Linked DNA regions of Oryctolagus cuniculus. The protein of the gene in region 1 interacts with the protein of each later gene in a biochemical or structural test. Links are inferred from orthologs where the notes say so. Each region holds a gene or a part of one and is shown in the gene's direction. Other genes may lie near its edges.

Region 1 (3,597 bases):
ATTGAGCCGCGGCGCCGGCCCTCCTTTGGTTTTAAGCTTGTGTTATTCTGTACATTAATCTAGAGGTAGATTTCCCCCATGTTAGGAGTTAGGGACAGGCCAGCCTGGATGTGACAGCACTTAGTGACTTCTGCCATTCTCATGCCAGCCTTGGTCTATGTGGACGTGGGAGGTCTGAGGCTTTGGTTAGTGCAGGCACAGCTCATTTCCCTCCCTTGGGAATCTGACCCTCCTGCTCTGCAGATGATGGCGTGAGCATCCCTGGGGAGTACACCTCCTTCCTGGCTCCCATCTCCTCCTCCAAGCTGTACAATGAGGTTCGAGCCTGTCGGGAAAAGGACCGTGACCCTGAGGTAAAGAGCCACCGTCCTGGGGAAGGACAAAGTAGTATTCCGCTCCTGGAGAAGATGAGGAGATGGAGAAATGGGGATGGGGGGAAGTGGATCAAGGGAAACTGTGTTTCTCTCTGTACCCCTGGGCTTTTGAGTGTTTCCCTGAGGAGGTAGGCTCTCTTGCCTGTCTCCTCCAGCTCTCCCTCTTGCTCTTTCTTACGCGGGACAGGCCCAGTTTGAGATGCCTTATGTGGTGCGGCTGCACAACTTCCACCAGCTCTCTGCGCCTCAGCCCTGTTTCACCTTCAGCCATCCCAACAGAGGTGGGTTCCTGCGTGGCCTCTGTCCTCACCCCCCTGCTTTCTCCCCTTGCTGTCCCGTCCACCTTACATGGTCCAAGCTTCACCAAGTGGCCTAGGGCTTCCGGTCCCTCATCATCCATAGAGTTCTTTTCCTTGCAGATCCTCTGATTGACAACAACCGCTACTGCACCTTGGAGTTCCCCGTGGAGGTGAACACGGTGCTGCATGGCTTCGCGGGCTACTTCGAGACTGTGCTTTATCGGGACATCACTCTGAGTGAGTGTCTTGGGCTGTGGATGGCAGGATATGCGGGTGTGGTGCGGGCTTGTGTTTGTGTCTCCTTTGGATTCCTGGGGAGCCCAGGAGTCCATGAATGGAGATCTTTGGTTGCTTATGATCACAGAACAGCCTCTCCTAGATAAAAGGCTCAGTCTTGGAGAACGGGGTGTTTTTCATTTGTCCACACAGGTATCCGTCCAGAGACTCACTCTCCTGGGATGTTCTCTTGGTTTCCCATCCTCTTCCCCATTAAGGTAGGAATCACCTTTAAGACTGACAGTTAAGGAGTAGCTTGTGCCATTGGTGTTGTGCCCCCTTCCCTCTCCTAAGCTGATACCTGTGACCCAGTGTTCTGCTCTTACAAGCTCTTCTATTCCACTTGTAGGTGCTGGAATTATCTGCAAGAGCCTTCTACCTACATCTCTCCTGGCTACTCTTCTGTCCAATCTCTCTTTTTCCCTCTCCCTCTCCCTCTCTCTTTACCTCTCTCTACCTCTCCTTCCCTCCCTCTCTCTCTCTTTTTTTCTTAAAAAAAAAAAAAAAAACAAAAAAAACTATGACTTTATCCTTTATCTCTCCCCTGTCTAAAACACTTCAATGCCTTCTCATAACCCTTAGGATAAAGATCAAAATCCGGAACATTGCTTACAAGCCTTGGAGTGTCTCGCCTTACTTGCCTTTTCAGAGACTGTCCTGTTGCTTACATGGCTTCAGCCCTGCAGACCTTCTGGTTCCTCTAAGTGCCCATCCTCTTTCTTCCCTCAGGTTTTCTCACCTCTCTCCTAGCCTGGCAGGTTCTTTGCTCATGTTTTCCTCCAGTCAACCTCTCCTGGAGGTCTCCTTGTGCATTTTTATTATCAGATAAACTTTCCCTGACCACCTTTCACAGGTGTTTTAAATTGTAGTCTTTAAGATTTATTTATGTATTTTTAAAGGCAGAGTCATAAAGAAGGAGGGAGGGATGGAGAGATCTTCCATCTACTGGTTCACTACCCAAGTGGCCAGGTCAAAGCCATGAACCTGGAACTCTCTCCAGGTCTCCCACATGGGTGGCACTTGGGCCATCTTCTGCTTTCCCAGGGGCATTAGCAGGGAGTTGTATTGTAAGCGGTACAGCCTGGTCTTGAACTGACGCTCTGCAGGATGGCAGCTCAGTCTGCTGTGCCACAGCGCCAGCTCCTCATAGGTGTTTTCATAAGCCCCTGATTTACCATAGTTTTGATGATTTGCTCAGTGTCTGCTGAGTGTTCTGATAGACTTTAAGTAAGCTTCATGAGGGTTGGAAACAGTCTGTTGGGTTTATCATTTTAGCTCCACACCTACCTTAATATGCTGTCACAAATAATTTATTAGCTCCACATCAAACCTCCCTATCTTGCTTCTTGCAGCAACCCATTACAGTGCGTGAAGGCCAGACTATTTGTGTGCGTTTCTGGCGATGCAGCAACTCCAAGAAGGTGTGGTACGAATGGGCTGTGACAGCACCAGTTTGTTCTGCTATTCACAACCCTACCGGCCGCTCATACACCATTGGCCTCTGATGCTCCGTGCAAGTGTCCAGAGCCTTGAAAGCGGCTTCAGGTTCTGCTCTTGTAGCACAGAAGGTGCTGTACATCTCTGGGCTGTGATTCCGCTTGCCCGAGAGAGAGGAGCATTTCAGTCTGATTTCCTGCCTTCCATCGAGGTGGGCAAAGGATAAGAATTAATTGCAAGGCTAAAGCCAGCAATCTGTGAAGACCTCAGATCAGGACATGAGGAATTGGTAGTCTGGGACCTGAAGCTACACCGACAGGCACTCAGCCTCAAGAACTTCCTGGAATAGCCCTGAGAACGTGTGGATTGAAACATTTTCAGTCCTTCCTCTGCTCCTCTCTGTTCTTGTTTTGATGGTTTTGTGTAAGAGGAAATACAAATAAAGTGAAGTTATGGCCCTTTCTTGCTCTGATCTGCTGTTCACTGCTTCTATTTGCCCACACCTTTTAGACCCAGGCATTTTCAGGCCTGTGCCCTTACCCTTTCAAGACCCATAGGGGCCGAGCTTTATTTCCTACTTGGGTGAGCAGTGACTCCTGGACATGGGCCTTTCTAACCAGCTAGAGCGAGCCCTTGTCCAGTAGGGTCTGTGTCAGGCTTTTCTCTGGGGAAAAGGCATAGAGTTCGTTGCCTTGGACAGAGAAAGGGCGTGAAGCCAGCTTCCCTTCCACCTAACTGAGTTGCCACACTGCCAGCTCTTGGGGAAAAACTGGAAGCCATCCAGGCAAGCCAAGTATTGGGTTTGAATAAAATCAGCAGGTTAGGGTTTGAAATCAGATCATCTAGTTCAATTTTCGGCCTTACAGCCTGGGGAGATGAAGTCTTCAACGGCATAATGTGCCTACGCGCCCAAATCAAAACGGGAACTCAGGTTCTCTAACTGGCGCTTAGCACCTGTGTCAGGCAGCTGAAGCCTGCAGGGGTACTGGAAGCCCTAGGGAAGTGAGGGGAGAGAATGCTCCCTTCTCCTGGTTAGAAGTCTGGGAGTACTGCTGCACCCATCACCTGAGAAGTTTCCCGCTGCAGTGCTAAGTCTGGGGCATGGATTTGAACTGAAGGTGTGTGACTTACGGGACCAGGCAGTGCGGCTGAGGCAATGTGCAAGAAGGCAAGCCCTGGGCTTCCCAGATAATCAGTCGCTGAGATTGGGA
Region 2 (4,066 bases), on another chromosome or scaffold:
GGGAAGAACATTCTATGCAAAGGTCTGGTCGGATCAGTCCTAATGTGGACAAGTAAAGGAACCTGATCATTGACATAAAGGGTAGAGTCAGCTTCCTGAGGACCACGTGCGTCTCCAGAAGAATACTGAGAACTCTCGAGAAGAAAGGGGAGTAGAAGAGGTTGTGAGGACTGCTCACAAATATGCCTCATAGCTTTGCTACTCAAGTTGTGATCCATGGACTAGGGAAATCTTCAACTGAAGGCTTCTGGAAATGCAGAATTTCAGGCCCTACAACAACTGAACCAGAATTTTCATCTTCAAATTTCCTCAATGGGGCTGGTGGTGCGACATAGCGGGTAAAGCCGCCTCTACAACACCAGCATCCCACATGGGTGCCAGTTCAAGTCCCGGCTTGCTCCACTTCTGATCCAGCTCCCTGCTAAGGCACCTGGGAAAGCAGCGGAAGAGGGCCTAAGTGCTTGGGCCTCTGCACCCTTGTAGGAGACCTGGAGGAAGCTCTGGGCTCCTGGCTTCAGCCTGGCTCTGCCTTGGCTGCTGCAGCCACTTGGGGAAAAACGTATGGTTGGAAGATCTCTGACTCTCCCTCTTTCTCTGTTAACTCTGATTTTCAAAATAAATAAATCTTTATTTAAAAAATTCCTTGGGTCTGTCCTGTGCACATTAAAGTTTGATGAGCATTGCCTTACAACATCCTAGAGTTCTGGTGATCATGGATGAAGTTCAATCTAGATTTACAAATTAAAACCATAGTTTTGGAGGAGATCGCCCAGGCTAAAGGAGAAAGTTTTCCTAAAAAGGACTACAGCTGTAAGCCCTGAAGCATCCTGACACGTGTAAAGACTCAGAGGCCTAGACAGAACAGCTAGTGGGTTAGGGAGAAACCCAGAGTGCTTGGCCCGGGAAACAAAGGTAGAAGGTATTTCAAAACTGAAGTGTGTTGAATGTTACTGAGACGTTGAGTACGAGGAAAACAGACAACTGTGTCTCGGAAACATAATTCTGCAATTTTCTTCAGATTCATCAGTAATGCTAAATAAGGTTCTTGGTGTTGGACCAGAATTCGCAATAACCTGTGTTTCTCTCAAAACCGCTCTTTGTTCACGGAGGAAGTTGTATTTGGTGCTTCGCCAACGCGCCCCGCCGTGCCGAAGCGTGATGGCGACTGCTAATTGGATTTAACTGTTCAAATCGCCCTCTCCTTAGACAGACAGTCACGCCCTCAGCCTCTGCAATGCATACCTCCGGCAGCGAGGGGTCGCAGTCGCGCTCCCCTTGGCCGGAAGGCAAAGTGGCCCAGCAAGGCCTCGGCGTTTCCGCCGCACGTCCACAGTGCTCCGCGCGCTCGCTACGTCCGGAGCCCGTGGAGTAGGCGTTTCCGGCCATTCATACGCCTAGCCGGTCCTCGGTAGTTGCATTCTCTGCGTTATCGAGCAGAAAGGACGATTGCGCCGCTACGATGAAGCTCGTGAGGTGAGGAGGTGGCCGAGCGAGGCGGGGGCTGAGCCGTAAGGGTTCGGGCCGGGCTCGGGAAGCTGAGCGGTCCCGAGGCCGGAGGCGGGAAAGCCGCGTGCGCGCGGCCTGCTAACGGCCTGCGGCGCCCGCCGCGCGCGCCCCATCTTGGCCGCGGCTCCGGGTCGTGATCGATCGTTCTTCAGCCTCGCCTGTCTTCCAAGAGGCGGGCTTGAAGACCGAGCTGCGTCTTGTCACCTGCTGCCTTGGGGGCCTTGAAGGTGGCTTGGTCTCGCGTTAGTTACCCATTCTCATTGTGCGCATGGAGCTCCCGTGGGTCTGAAGACGGAGTTTATCATGGAAATAAGGAAGCCTACTTGCAGCATGTTTTAGATCAGAGAGGAACTAGTTTGCAAGTTGTGATTTTAAAGTTTTTGGTCTCTCTCGATGCTCCCTAGACTTTTGATCAGAAAAATCTCCCACTATGAGGCAAAAGCCAATACTTTTTGATTGTGGCTGGTTACACATAGCTGGTAATTCCTCCGGTTTCCTTTCTGCGATTGTGTTGCTTAGTTGAGCCTACTAAAGGATTGTTTATTGATGTTTGTAATTAGTTCCAAACTGCTTGCAGATAGGTTAGATTTTGGTGCTTTACATGGAGGCTGAGCCTGCAGCCCAGCGGTGGTTTCTGGTACTAAGCTAGCGGTTGGAAGTATTTGACGAGTTTCTTTCCTCCCAAGTCGAGACTGGCAGTGCTGACCAGTTATGGGGCACCTGTTACAGTTACTGTGTGCCGATAATAGAATTTTCTTAAAGGCAAGAATCCCTGCCTTGGAACTTTTTGTTTAGTGCTGAAGACAGATAAGTGGTTAACATCTAGTATGTTTGAAATACAGTTATACTTTATGGGTGGAGTTTGTAGAGAAGACATTTAATGTGAATGTTCATTCTTATTTGAATTATAACTTTGTATAACAGTCTCAGAACTCAGTGTATTTTTATATTTCTCCATACCTGCTCGTTTGAATCTTAATGAATTTTTTTTTTTTTTTTTTTTTTTTTTTTTTGTCACTGAAGATTCAGTTTGTCTCATTTGAAAATAGCACATGTTCTAGCAGAATTTCCCTGTAATTTTTAACGAGTGTGCTGAATCCCGTTCTGTGTCTTAGGTACTAGGTAGATACAAACCCTCTTGTGTCTTGCCTCAAGAAAATGGTTTGACTAATTAGTTTGTGTATGCTCATTGTATTTATTTCTGCATCTCAGTTGGTGGCATTATCATCCTTATCCTGTCACCCTAGCCAAAACCAGGGAGACAAACTTCACTTTCTTAAGTGAAGTTCAGTGTGTATTTCCTGAGAGTGGAAAAATTATACACTAGTGTAACCCAAACCCCTGCCATGGTAAAATACCAAAACCTCAAGAAGTTCCCTTAAGCTATCTCAAGTCAACTTTTAGCTCCACATCCACCAAAGCAATGTGTTTCTTCCACTGTAGTTTTGCCTGCAGTAGAATTTATTCTTTGGAATAAAAAAAGACTATATGTCTTTTTTATGTTTGCTTAAGATTTCTTAGCATGCTCCTGAGATTCATCAACATTTAGTTTTGCTTTTTGTTACTTTAAAGATTTGTTTATTTAAAACAAGGCAGAGCAACACAGAGAAGTGCCTCCCAACTGCTGATTCGCTTTCTAAGTGCCACAACAGCCCAGGCTGGGCCAACTGAAACCAGGAGCCAGGGATTCTGTCTGGGTCTCACACGTGGGTGACAGGGGCCCCAAACACTCTGGCCATCTTGGGTTGTTTTCCTAGGTGCATTAGCAGAGAGCTGGATCAGAAGTAGAGCAGCTGGTACAACAACCTGCACTCTGTTACGGAATATAGGAAGCTGTCCCAAGTAAAGGGTTAACCTGCTGAGTGCCGCCCACCCCCAGTATTTAAAAAAAAAAATTTAATTGTAGGATAGTAGTCCAATTGTATGTTTTAAAATGATATGTTTTGTTTAAAGCTGTTTTGAACATCCTTATGCAAATCTCTGTATACATAGCTTTGATTTTTCTTGGGTAAATACTTAGGAGTAGACATGCAGAATCCTACATAGGGTATACTTAGGAGCAGACATGCAGAATTCTACATAGGGTAAGGATATGTTTAACTTCATAAGAAATGCCCTACCATTTTTCAAAGTGCTTGTACCATTTTAAACTTCTAATAGCAATATGTTAGACTTCCAATTGCTCCACTTCCTCACCAGCATTTGTTGTTGTCAATCTGCTTAATTTTATGGATTTTAGTGGGTATATGGTAGTGTTTCCTTAAGTTTTAGTTTGTATTTTTCTAATGACTAATGCTTATTAGCTATTTGCACATCTGTTGTGATGTTATGTTTGAATCTGTTGTTTATTTTGATGGTTTCTTTTTATTACTGGGTTGTTACAATTCTGTATATCCTGGATACCAGTCCTTTGTCATATACGTATGTATATATATTTTTAAGATTTATTTTTTATTTATTTGAAAGAGAGCGAGATCTTCATTCGCTGGTTCACTTCCCAACTGACCACAACAGCTAGGGCTGGGTCAGGCTGAAGCCAGGAGCCCAGAGCGTCTGCTGG
Region 3 (4,556 bases), on another chromosome or scaffold:
CGGGGACACCCAAACATTGAATATTATGTCACTGTTGGCTTTCTTCCCCCAAATGCCGCAAAGTGTGTGTGTGCTTTTAAGATTTATTTATTTGAAAGAGTTAAACAGAGAGGAGAGGCAGAGAGAGAGAGAGAGAGGTCTTCCATCTGCTGGTTCACTCCCCAAATGGCCGCCAACGGCCAGAGCTGTGCTGATCAAGAGCCAGGAGCTTCTTCCTAGTCTCCCACGTGGGTGCAGGGGCCCAAGGACTTGGGCCATCTTCTGTTTCACAGGCCATAGCAGAGAGCTGGACAGGAAGTGGAGCAGCCGGGTCTCGAACTGGCACCCATCTGGGATGCCTGAGCTTCAGGCCAGGGTGTTAACCCACTGTGCTACAACGCAGGCCCCACAAAGTGGTTTACAGACAACAAAATTCCTCTAGGGAGGCGCTCTAATGTCCCAAGAGGTCATAAGGTTTCCTGGTGAGCAAGGAGTCCCAGCTTCTGGCTTTTTGCTCCTTAAAGGTTAACATGTGAGTGGCCAGGGCTCCCTGGTTTAATCCTCCGTTTGCAGCGCCGGCATCACATGTGGCCGCCGGGTTCTAGTCCTGGTGGCTCCTCTTCCAGTCCAGCTCTCTGCTTTGGCCCGGGAAGGCAGTGGAGGATAGCCCAAGTGCTTGGACCCTGCACCCACGTGGGAGACCAGGAAGAAACACCTAGCTCCTGACTTCAGATCGGAGCAGCTCCGGCCGTAGCGGCCATTTTGGGAGTGAACCAAGGGAAAGAAGACCTTTCTATCTATCTGTCAAAAAAAAAAAGAAAAAAAGAAAAAGTTAACGTGATTATCACGCGTGGTCGGTGGCCAGCAGGGAAGGCAATGAAGGCCCTTGCTGCATGGGAGGCACCCCTCTTAGTCCTTAGAGGCAAAATGGGGAATAACTGGTGGCAGACCCAAATCTCAGCGTGGGAAGGTCGGAGCCCTGGTCGGATTCCACCACTAGTGCAGAATATTTAACCGTGTCCACACATTGCAGCTGTTTGAACAGCTGCCCTGGTTCCCAATAGACTGTTGTAACTCGAGGTGGGGCGTCGCTGGCTGCTAGGTTGTCTCGTTCGTTGAGGTTGTTAGGGTCTAATTCCAGTGGACCCAGAAAGAGGGTGAAACGTGGCTGGAGCCTCAAACTGCATTCTGAGTTTTGACAGCTCGGCTTCAGACGGTGTCAGGGCCGCTCCGGTATTCGTGTTCTAATGGGGAATGGAGGTTTTGCAGCTGAACACATCGGGTGTGGCAGAGTGGAGCTGGGATTCGGCCCTGCCGGCCCAGCCCGCGTTCCAGGCCGGGCGTTTGCGCGTGGGAGCCACCAGAACCAGTACTCCAGACTGGCTCCGTTTCTCACCGGGTAGGCAGGGGGCTCTGCGGTGGCGACGCGCCCCGCCCCCGGCGTCCTCGTGACCCGGTGTCCCGCCCCCGCGGCCGGGAGCACCCCGGCTGATTGGCCCCTGCGCGGCGTATCCTCAGGCTGGCAGCCAGGCTGGCGCATCACGTGGCCGAGCCGCGTCCAGGGCGCCCAGCCGTGGGCAGCTCGGCATGGACCCGCAGGCCGCCGGGGCCCGGGCACGGGGCGTCACGGAACCGCCTCGGGGCCCGCCGCTACCGAGCACGCGGGAGGCGCCCCGCAGCCTGGAGGTGAGCGCCGCGCGCGGGCCGAGCGCCGCCACCACCTGCAGCCAGTGCGGGAAGTTGGGGGCTCGCGGGGCGGTGCCCGGTGCGGGGCGCGGACAGCGCCACGGGCCGCTCCACAAGCCCTGAGCGCCGTTTGGGCTCGCGCTGGAGCTGGAAACGGCTGGCCGAGGAGCAGCGGGGCTTCGAGGCTGCCGGGCCGGGAGCTCCGAGGGGCGTGGGTGGGCGCGCCGGTCCCACTGAGGCTATTGGCCCACAGGGCGCCTCTGCGTACTTACTAAATGGGAGGTGATGTTGGGGACGGAGAGCTGGGGCCCGCTACTAGGGGCCTGGGCCCCGGCCAGGTGAGGGCTGCAAGGGGAGGGCTTCGCCTGGAGGAGCCCTGTTCACTGACTGAGGGTGGGGGGACGCTCACTATCCCCCGAGCGCTGAGGGGTGGGTGGGTGTCCCATGCACTCTCCGTTTACGGAGACCCGAAGGCCAGGTTTGACGCAGGGTTTGCAGAAACTTGCTTTCAGGTGCGCTCCAGGCAGCCCCCGTGTTTCCGAGACCGCTGTCGCAGTGCTCGCCTGTCCTTGTCTACAGTGTCTGCCTAGACGACAGCTCCTCCGTTTAGGGCTGGGAGCCCAGCGCCTAGCACGCGGGACAGGCGTAGTAATTGGGTGGACACAGCAGAGATGGGCCTTAACCAGAGACGTGCACGCGGCGGCAACGCTTGTAGTCGGGGAGAGCAGGGAGGGCTGCGCGCTGGCTCTCGCAGGTGGGAGTCCGGTGGTGCCTGCGGAGGCTGGCCAGGAAGAAGCGCAGGGCAAGTGGCTCAGAGCTGGGGCGGCGGCGTGGAGAAGCATGCTGAACAGGTCGTGGGGGGCGGGTGCCTTTGTGTTTGCTGGTGGAGGGCTGTTGAAGCTGTTGACCAGAGTGGTGATTAACCCTGTGGGTGGGGGAATTCGGAGGTCAAGGCCTCCTTAGCTTAGCCTCATCCCGCTGGTGGGCAGCCCTGAGCAATTGCTGCTGACCACTGGAAGTGGAATCACTTAAGGGAGGCATGGCTAGGCGAGGAGTGATGATTGGATTGAAACAGGTGCAGTTTAGATGTAGGATCAGAGGAGGTGAGTCTAAATTCTAGACGCCTCGCATTCCTGCCCGTGCGCTGGGAGAGCTCTTAGACGTTAGGTAGTAGGAACCACTCTCCCCTGTTTCCAGGGAAGAAAGCCCAGGGGCTGAAGCCAGGTGGCCCAGACAGTACCCTGAGTGGCAGAGCTGGGGCTGAAGGTGGGGCTTCCTGCGAGCGCTTCTGGGGCAATTAGAGCGTTTGGGAGACTTGTGGGTGCTGGAGGCAGAGAAGCTTCCGGCCGGCTGCAGGGGAGGGTGATTTCCAGCTGGTTTAGAGCTGTTTATTTCAGCCAGCACCACTCAGGACAGAGAGTTCCACTCCCATCCTGTGCCAGTGAGAAGAGGCAAAGAGTTGTGAACTAAATACTAAGTAACCAGAAAGGTCAAAAAGATGTCTGGAGGAAGCAGTGGGCAGGAAACAGCCAGGACAGCTCTGCAGAGCTGAAATCCAACCTGCTGCAGCTGGTGCTGAGGTCTCTGAGCTGGGAGAGTAGGGACCCTGGGCTCCAGACCTCTGACAAGAGGGCCCAGTGATGACACGGCCACCTCAGGTGTCCACACAGCTGTAGCCAGGGGTGCAGCCGTGTTGTTGGGATGGTGCCTGGAGAATTAGAAAGGCCAGCTGGATCTAACAGGGGGAGACAGAAATGTGGATCCCCATCAAGAGTGTGGGACTGGGACTCGACCTGAGAGGCAATGGCTTAGTACCAGGATCCGGGGCACCTGAGTTCCTGGTAATCGGTTGTTCTTCCTGCAGGCCACCTTCGCCACAGCAGACCCCAGTGGTCCAGAGACAGAGGCTGAGACGGCCACGGATCGACTAGGCAAGTAGATGTCGGAGCGGCCGTGATGGTCTCTACGTCTTGTTTCCCTGTTCCTTCTAACCAGCCCTCTGCTGCCGAGGTGCCTCCCCTGTCGCGTTTCAGCAATGCTTTCCGTTGAAAGCCCTGCCCAGGCTACCGTAAGGGAAATCCTGGACTTGGCTTACATCCCAACTCATCTCTTCAACTGAGAGCCAGCTCGCAGCCGTGACACGTGGGGGCTTGGGAGGCAGGCAGAATTGTATTTTCAACTCTGAGAGCCCTGGAATGGAGTATCATGGACTTGACAGTGAGACGAATAAGACCTACTCCCTAGGGTTGTTCTCAGGATTGGGGGACAGAGCGAGGAATCGTGTGGGTCTGTTACAGCAGCCGCTAGCCACAGGTGCAGTTGAAGTTAGTTCTAAGGCAGTACCACAGGAAACTCAGCTTCTCAGGCCACATTCCACGTGCTCAGTAGCCACGTGTGGGTAGTGCTGCCTTGTTGGACAGCAGTGATGCTAGAACATTTCCGTCTCGGCAGGAAGTTCGAATGGGAAGTGTTGGTCTAGATCACGCAGTCGCAGGTGTAACAGTCCCAGTAATGGAAACCTTTGAGCGCTCCTGTCGACAGGTGTAGTCTGTTTCTATTGTTTCCTTTCCCCCCCCCCACATCTCACAACAAACCTGTCTCCATTTTACAAATGAGGAAACAGATACAGCGTAGTTAATACAAAAAAAAAGTTTTTTTAAAATTTTATGTACTTGAAAAGTAGAATGAGGGGGTGGGGAAAGAGGGAGATATCTTCCTCTGGTTTACTCCCCAAATGGCCTCATTGTCTGGGGCTGGCCCAGGCTGAAGCCAGGAGCCTGTAACTCCACTGGGGTCTCCCCCAGGGGTGGCAGGGGCTCAAGCACTAGGGTCATCTTCCTCTGTCTTCCCAGGGACATCAGCAGGGAGCTGGATAAGATGTGGAGCAGCAG
Region 4 (4,514 bases), on another chromosome or scaffold:
TGGCAGGTACGGCTGCCATTTGCAGAGCTAGCATCCCACGTGGGGGCTGGTTCGAGTCCCGGCTGCTCCACTTCCGACCCAGCATTCTGCTAAGGCGCCTGGGAAAGCAGCGATGATGGCCCAAGTGCTTGGGCCCCTGGCACCCACGTGGACCTGGATGGAGCGCCAGGCTCCTGGTTTCAGCCTGGCCAGCCCCAGCCATCACAGCCACTTGTGGGGTGAACCAGGGATGGAAGCTCCCCTCCTTTCCTTCTTAAAAAAAAAAAAAAAAAAAGCCCACTAAATTGAAGGGGCGGGTACAGCTCAGCTGGCCCCCAGGGTCCAGGTCGCAGGACTTAGGTCACCTATCCCCTCTACAGGGGTCTGGTTGAGGAATCCCCCCGGCCCTGTGCAAACCGCTACCCACCACCCGCACGGAGCCCCCAGACTGAGCCCACTTGGCCACGCTCAGAATCCCCACAAGGACTCCAAGTCGCTGGCCAGCGGAGGGGTCACCGAGGCCAGGCAGAAGCCGACCCCAACTTCCGGCGCTAAGACCCCTTGACCTGAACCCCTGGGGAAGGCCGGGAGTGGGGCCAAGGCGCCTGGCCCCCGGCTCTGCGAGCGGACCCCGGGCACCGGCCTGGCTGCGCGGGCCCGCGATCTCTTCCACGACACTCCCACCTTTCATTTACGTCCTCGCCAGATTTCTGGTAGATTTTAAAACATCAGTTATTGGAATGTTGGGACGGATACTCCAGGGCCATTTAAAGCTGTCTGAAGGCGCACGCCCTGGGAGTGAGGGACCGAAACGCCACCGTTTCCTGTTTAAAGTTTCTTCGAACTTTGCACTTATCTCACGTTCATCCCAAAACCACGCACCAAACTCTCCAAGACGCCAAAGTGTGCTCACTCCGGGGACCCAGAGACCCGCCTGGGCCCACCCTGGCGACTCCGCGGCTTCCTCCCTGCAGACCGAGGGTCGAGAGGCAGCGACAACACCCACCACCCACTCCCAACGACGGCTGCCACAAACTCGCCGGGGGCTCGCGGCTGGAACGCGCCTGTGTGACGCCACCCGCGCTCGCCGGCGAGCGAGCCTCGGCGTCCCTCGTCCTAAAGCGGCGACGTTACGAGAGTGCGAGATCCCCAGGCCGAGCGGCCTGTGCACCCGCAGCCGCGCGCCTCCGCCGGCAGACACACACACACACACTCGGGGCGGAGCGGCCGCCACTGGATGCCGCCCACCTGACGCTTCGGTTGGTCCTCCTCGCGCACCGTCCGGCCAGGCCCACTGCCCGGCGCGGGGGCGGGGCTTCCGGCCGAGCCGCACTTCCGGGAGGGGCGGGACTTCCGGGGCACGTGCCGCGGCGCGCTGTGTGACTGTGGGTCCGGCGCTCCGAGGCGCGTGGCGGGCGGTGTTGGCCGCTGGTGGGATTCTAAACCGTTTGCGAGGTGGGGGTCGCGGAAAAGCCGTTGGAAGGCCGCAGGGAAGGCCGTGTGCGTGGCGTTCCCGTCCCGGCGCCCTCGGTCATGGACTACCGGCGGGTCCTGATGGGCCGGGTGGTGCCCGGCCAGTTCGACGACGCGGACTCCGACAGGTATCGGACGCCGCGGTTCCGATCGTGCGACCCCTTCTCGGGGAGTCCGCAGGGGTTCCTGGCCCGCTCTCGCTTGGCAGCTGTGTTTTCTCTCTTGGGCAGCGCGAATGAAGGCCGCTTGCCGAGTCGGTGCGCCCACGGTGGAGAGGCGGGGTCGGGGAGCGCCGGCCACGGAGAGGAGGGGTCGGGGAGGGCCGGCCACGGAGAGGCGGGGTCGGGGGGGGCCAGCCACGGAGAGGAGGGGTCGGGGAGGGCCGGCCACGGGGAGGCCACGGGGAGGCCACGGGGAGGAGGGGTCGGGGAGGGCCGGCCACGGGGAGGAGGGGTCGGGGGGGGGCCAGCCACGGAGAGGAGGGGTCGGGGAGGGCCGGCCACGGGGAGGCGGGGTCGCAGGGTCGGGGAGCACCGGCCACGGGGAGGAGGGGTCGGGGGGGGGGCAGCCACGGAGAGGAGGGGTCGGGGAGGGCCGGCCACGGGGAGGCCACGGGGAGGAGGGGTCGCAGGGTCGGGGAGGGCCGGCCACGAAGAGGGGGGGTCGCAGGGTCGGGGAGGGCCGGCCACGGAGAGGGGGGGTCGCAGGGTCGGGGAGGGCCGGCCACGGAGAGGGGGGGTCGCAGGGTCGGGGAGGGCCGGCCACGGAGAGGAGGGGTCGGGGGGTCGGGGAGTCCCGGCCGTAGAGAGGCAGCGTCGGGGAGCGCCGGCCACGGAGAGGAGGGGTCGGGGAGCATTGGCTGTGGCGAGGCGGGGTCGGGGAGCGCTGGCCCCGGGGCGTTCTGCGCTGCCCAGGGGTTTGTTGAGCACCTGGGCATGGTAATGGGGTTTGTAGAACTTTATTTTCTATTTGGGAGAGAGGGAAGGCCGTTAAAATAAAAGATATATGCGATGGTATTTTAGAAATCTGGTGGAAAATGGGGTTAAAAGACCTTTATTTTGGTGCAAACTTTTTTAAAAAATAATTAAAGTCAGTTAATATGCAAAGTAGTGCCAGAGTGATTCCGGAAGGGTGAAGCAGGAAGAAGGCACTACCCTAACAAGAGCAGAGGGAGTGGCGTTTCTGGCCCAGGACGCGTGCAAAGGCCCCGGGGTCAGCTGGCAAAGGGACACGAAGAGGCCGGTGTGCCTGGAGCACAGTTAGGGGGATTGGAGGTGGCACTGGGGAGAAGGGTTCAGATACTGTGGAGCCCAGAGTGACCGGGAGGAGGGGCCAGATACTGTGGAGCCCAGAGTGACTGGGGGAGAAGGGTTCAGATACTGTGGAGCCCAGAGTGACCGGGAGGAGGGTTCAGATACTGTGGAGCCCAGAGTGACCCAGAGAAGGGTTCGGATACTGTGGAGCCCAGAGTGACCGGGAGGAGGGGCCAGATACTGTGGAGCCCAGAGTGACCGGGAGGAGGGGCCAGATACTGTGGAGCCCAGAGTGACCGGGAGGAGGGGCCAGATACTGTGGAGCCCAGAGTGACCGGGGGAGAAGGGTTCAGATACTGTGGAGCCCAGAGTGACCGGGGGAGAAGGGCCAGATACTGTGGAGCCCAGAGTGACCGGGCGGTGTTGAGATCACTGTTCTGAGCACTGCAGAAAGTCGTAGGAAGGATTTAGCAAGAGCTTGACGTTGGGTTCAGATTGAGAGGTGCAGGAGATGGTAGTGAAGGGGGCAAGAGTGGACAGAAGCCAAGTTCCGAGGTTCCAGGGTGAAGGATGAGAATGTTGGGGGTCCTGGAGATAGGTTTTAGGTGTCGAAAGGCAAGATCTGGTGGTGGATTAGACATGGAAAAGAGGAAAGAGGAGACCCCTATATTAGAAACAAACCGGGGGCCGGCGCTGTGCACAGCTTCCCTTACCAGTGAGGGTCCCAGCTGCTGCACTTCTCACCCAGCTCCCTGCTGCTGCGCTGCGAAAGCAGTGGAAGATGGGCCAGTGCCTGGGTCCCTGCACCCATGTGGGAGACCCAGATGGGGTTCCTGACGCCTGGCTGTGGCCTGGTCCTGCCCTGGCTGTTGTGGCCATTTGGAGAGTGAACCAGCGGATGAAAGATCTGTGTCTCCCTCTTTTTCAGTCACTCTGTGTTCAAATAAATAATTCTTTAAAAACAAAATGAAATGTATTAAGAGTTACTTTGGAATTCCAGGAAAACCATTTATACTTTAAGGTAAAGATTTATTAATCAATTAGGAATTTTTACAGTAAATATATATATATATATTTAAAGATTTATTTATTTGAAAGGTAGAATTACAGAGAGAGATCTTCCATCCACTGGTTCACTTCCCAGATGGCTGCAAAGGCCAGGGTGGGCCAGGATCTTTTTCTGGGTCTCCCATGTGGCTGCAGGGGCCCAAGCACTTGGGCCAACTTCTACTGCTTCCCCAGGTGCATCCGCAGGGAGCTGGATCAGAAAGGAGCTCCCATAAGATATGCTGGTGTTGCAGCCGGCCCCTTAACCGGCTACTCCACAGCGCTGGCCCCAGTAAATGTGTGTTGACCTCTTTCTACATGTGAGATCTAGTGTTAGGTGGTGTGGATACGTTGGTAAACGTTATCCTAACACAGAGCTTGCACTCTGGCAGAGAAAACTGATATTAGATAATCAGGTCACCGGTCCAAAGGAGATGTGGGTGAAGAATGGGCAGATATCCCTGAGCAAGTGATAGTGGGCTGGGTAGGGTTAGCCAGAGAGAGGAGATTGGGCATTCCAGTTTTGTGGTTACAGATCAGCGGACAGAGGTCTCAGAGAAGTGAAGTGGGAAGAGAGAATCACCCCGCTGGGCTGGTGAAGAACAGAGAGTGGTGACAGTACGCTCATTCATTAGCCTCACAGGATGTCGGGAGCAGAGGCCCGCTGTGCTGCCCTGCGGGTGGTTGTGCCACCTCCACTTCCCCCCGGAGGACTTGTGTTGTCACAGCTAGGGGTGGTGGCATCTGTGGGCAGAGGACAGA

What was found.
Region 2: the proteins of PRMT5 (region 1) and SNRPD1 form a complex in vitro, tested with the Homo sapiens proteins (2 studies listed by BioGRID, with this or other methods). The link is inferred for Oryctolagus cuniculus from reciprocal best matches to the Homo sapiens genes PRMT5 and SNRPD1.
Region 3: the proteins of PRMT5 (region 1) and COPRS form a complex in vitro, tested with the Homo sapiens proteins (3 studies listed by BioGRID, with this or other methods). The link is inferred for Oryctolagus cuniculus from reciprocal best matches to the Homo sapiens genes PRMT5 and COPRS.
Region 4: the proteins of PRMT5 (region 1) and RIOK1 are reported together in a solved structure, tested with the Homo sapiens proteins (2 studies listed by BioGRID, with this or other methods). The link is inferred for Oryctolagus cuniculus from reciprocal best matches to the Homo sapiens genes PRMT5 and RIOK1.

The regions. Positions count from the first base shown.
Region 1 is NC_091443.1:52,089,203-52,092,799, forward strand, and holds the end of PRMT5 (protein arginine N-methyltransferase 5), read left to right. Parts: intron 1-243; coding exon 244-353; intron 354-561; coding exon 562-655; intron 656-793; coding exon 794-910; intron 911-1,102; coding exon 1,103-1,167; intron 1,168-2,301; coding exon 2,302-2,454; 3' UTR 2,455-2,858; downstream 2,859-3,597. UniProt on the Homo sapiens protein: Arginine methyltransferase that can both catalyze the formation of omega-N monomethylarginine (MMA) and symmetrical dimethylarginine (sDMA), with a preference for the formation of MMA.
Region 2 is NC_091441.1:56,034,661-56,038,726, reverse strand, and holds the start of SNRPD1 (small nuclear ribonucleoprotein Sm D1), read left to right. Parts: upstream 1-1,266; 5' UTR 1,267-1,459; coding exon 1,460-1,473; intron 1,474-1,559; exon of another isoform or gene 1,560-1,733; intron 1,734-4,066. UniProt on the Homo sapiens protein: Plays a role in pre-mRNA splicing as a core component of the spliceosomal U1, U2, U4 and U5 small nuclear ribonucleoproteins (snRNPs), the building blocks of the spliceosome.
Region 3 is NC_091448.1:42,255,596-42,260,151, forward strand, and holds the start of COPRS (coordinator of PRMT5 and differentiation stimulator), read left to right. Parts: upstream 1-1,474; 5' UTR 1,475-1,566; coding exon 1,567-1,665; intron 1,666-1,755; exon of another isoform or gene 1,756-1,940; coding exon of another isoform or gene 1,941-2,003; intron 2,004-3,529; coding exon 3,530-3,596; intron 3,597-4,556. UniProt on the Homo sapiens protein: Histone-binding protein required for histone H4 methyltransferase activity of PRMT5.
Region 4 is NC_091436.1:163,183,637-163,188,150, reverse strand, and holds the start of RIOK1 (serine/threonine-protein kinase RIO1), read left to right. Parts: upstream 1-1,446; 5' UTR 1,447-1,512; coding exon 1,513-1,580; intron 1,581-4,514. UniProt on the Homo sapiens protein: Involved in the final steps of cytoplasmic maturation of the 40S ribosomal subunit. Involved in processing of 18S-E pre-rRNA to the mature 18S rRNA. Required for the recycling of NOB1 and PNO1 from the late 40S precursor.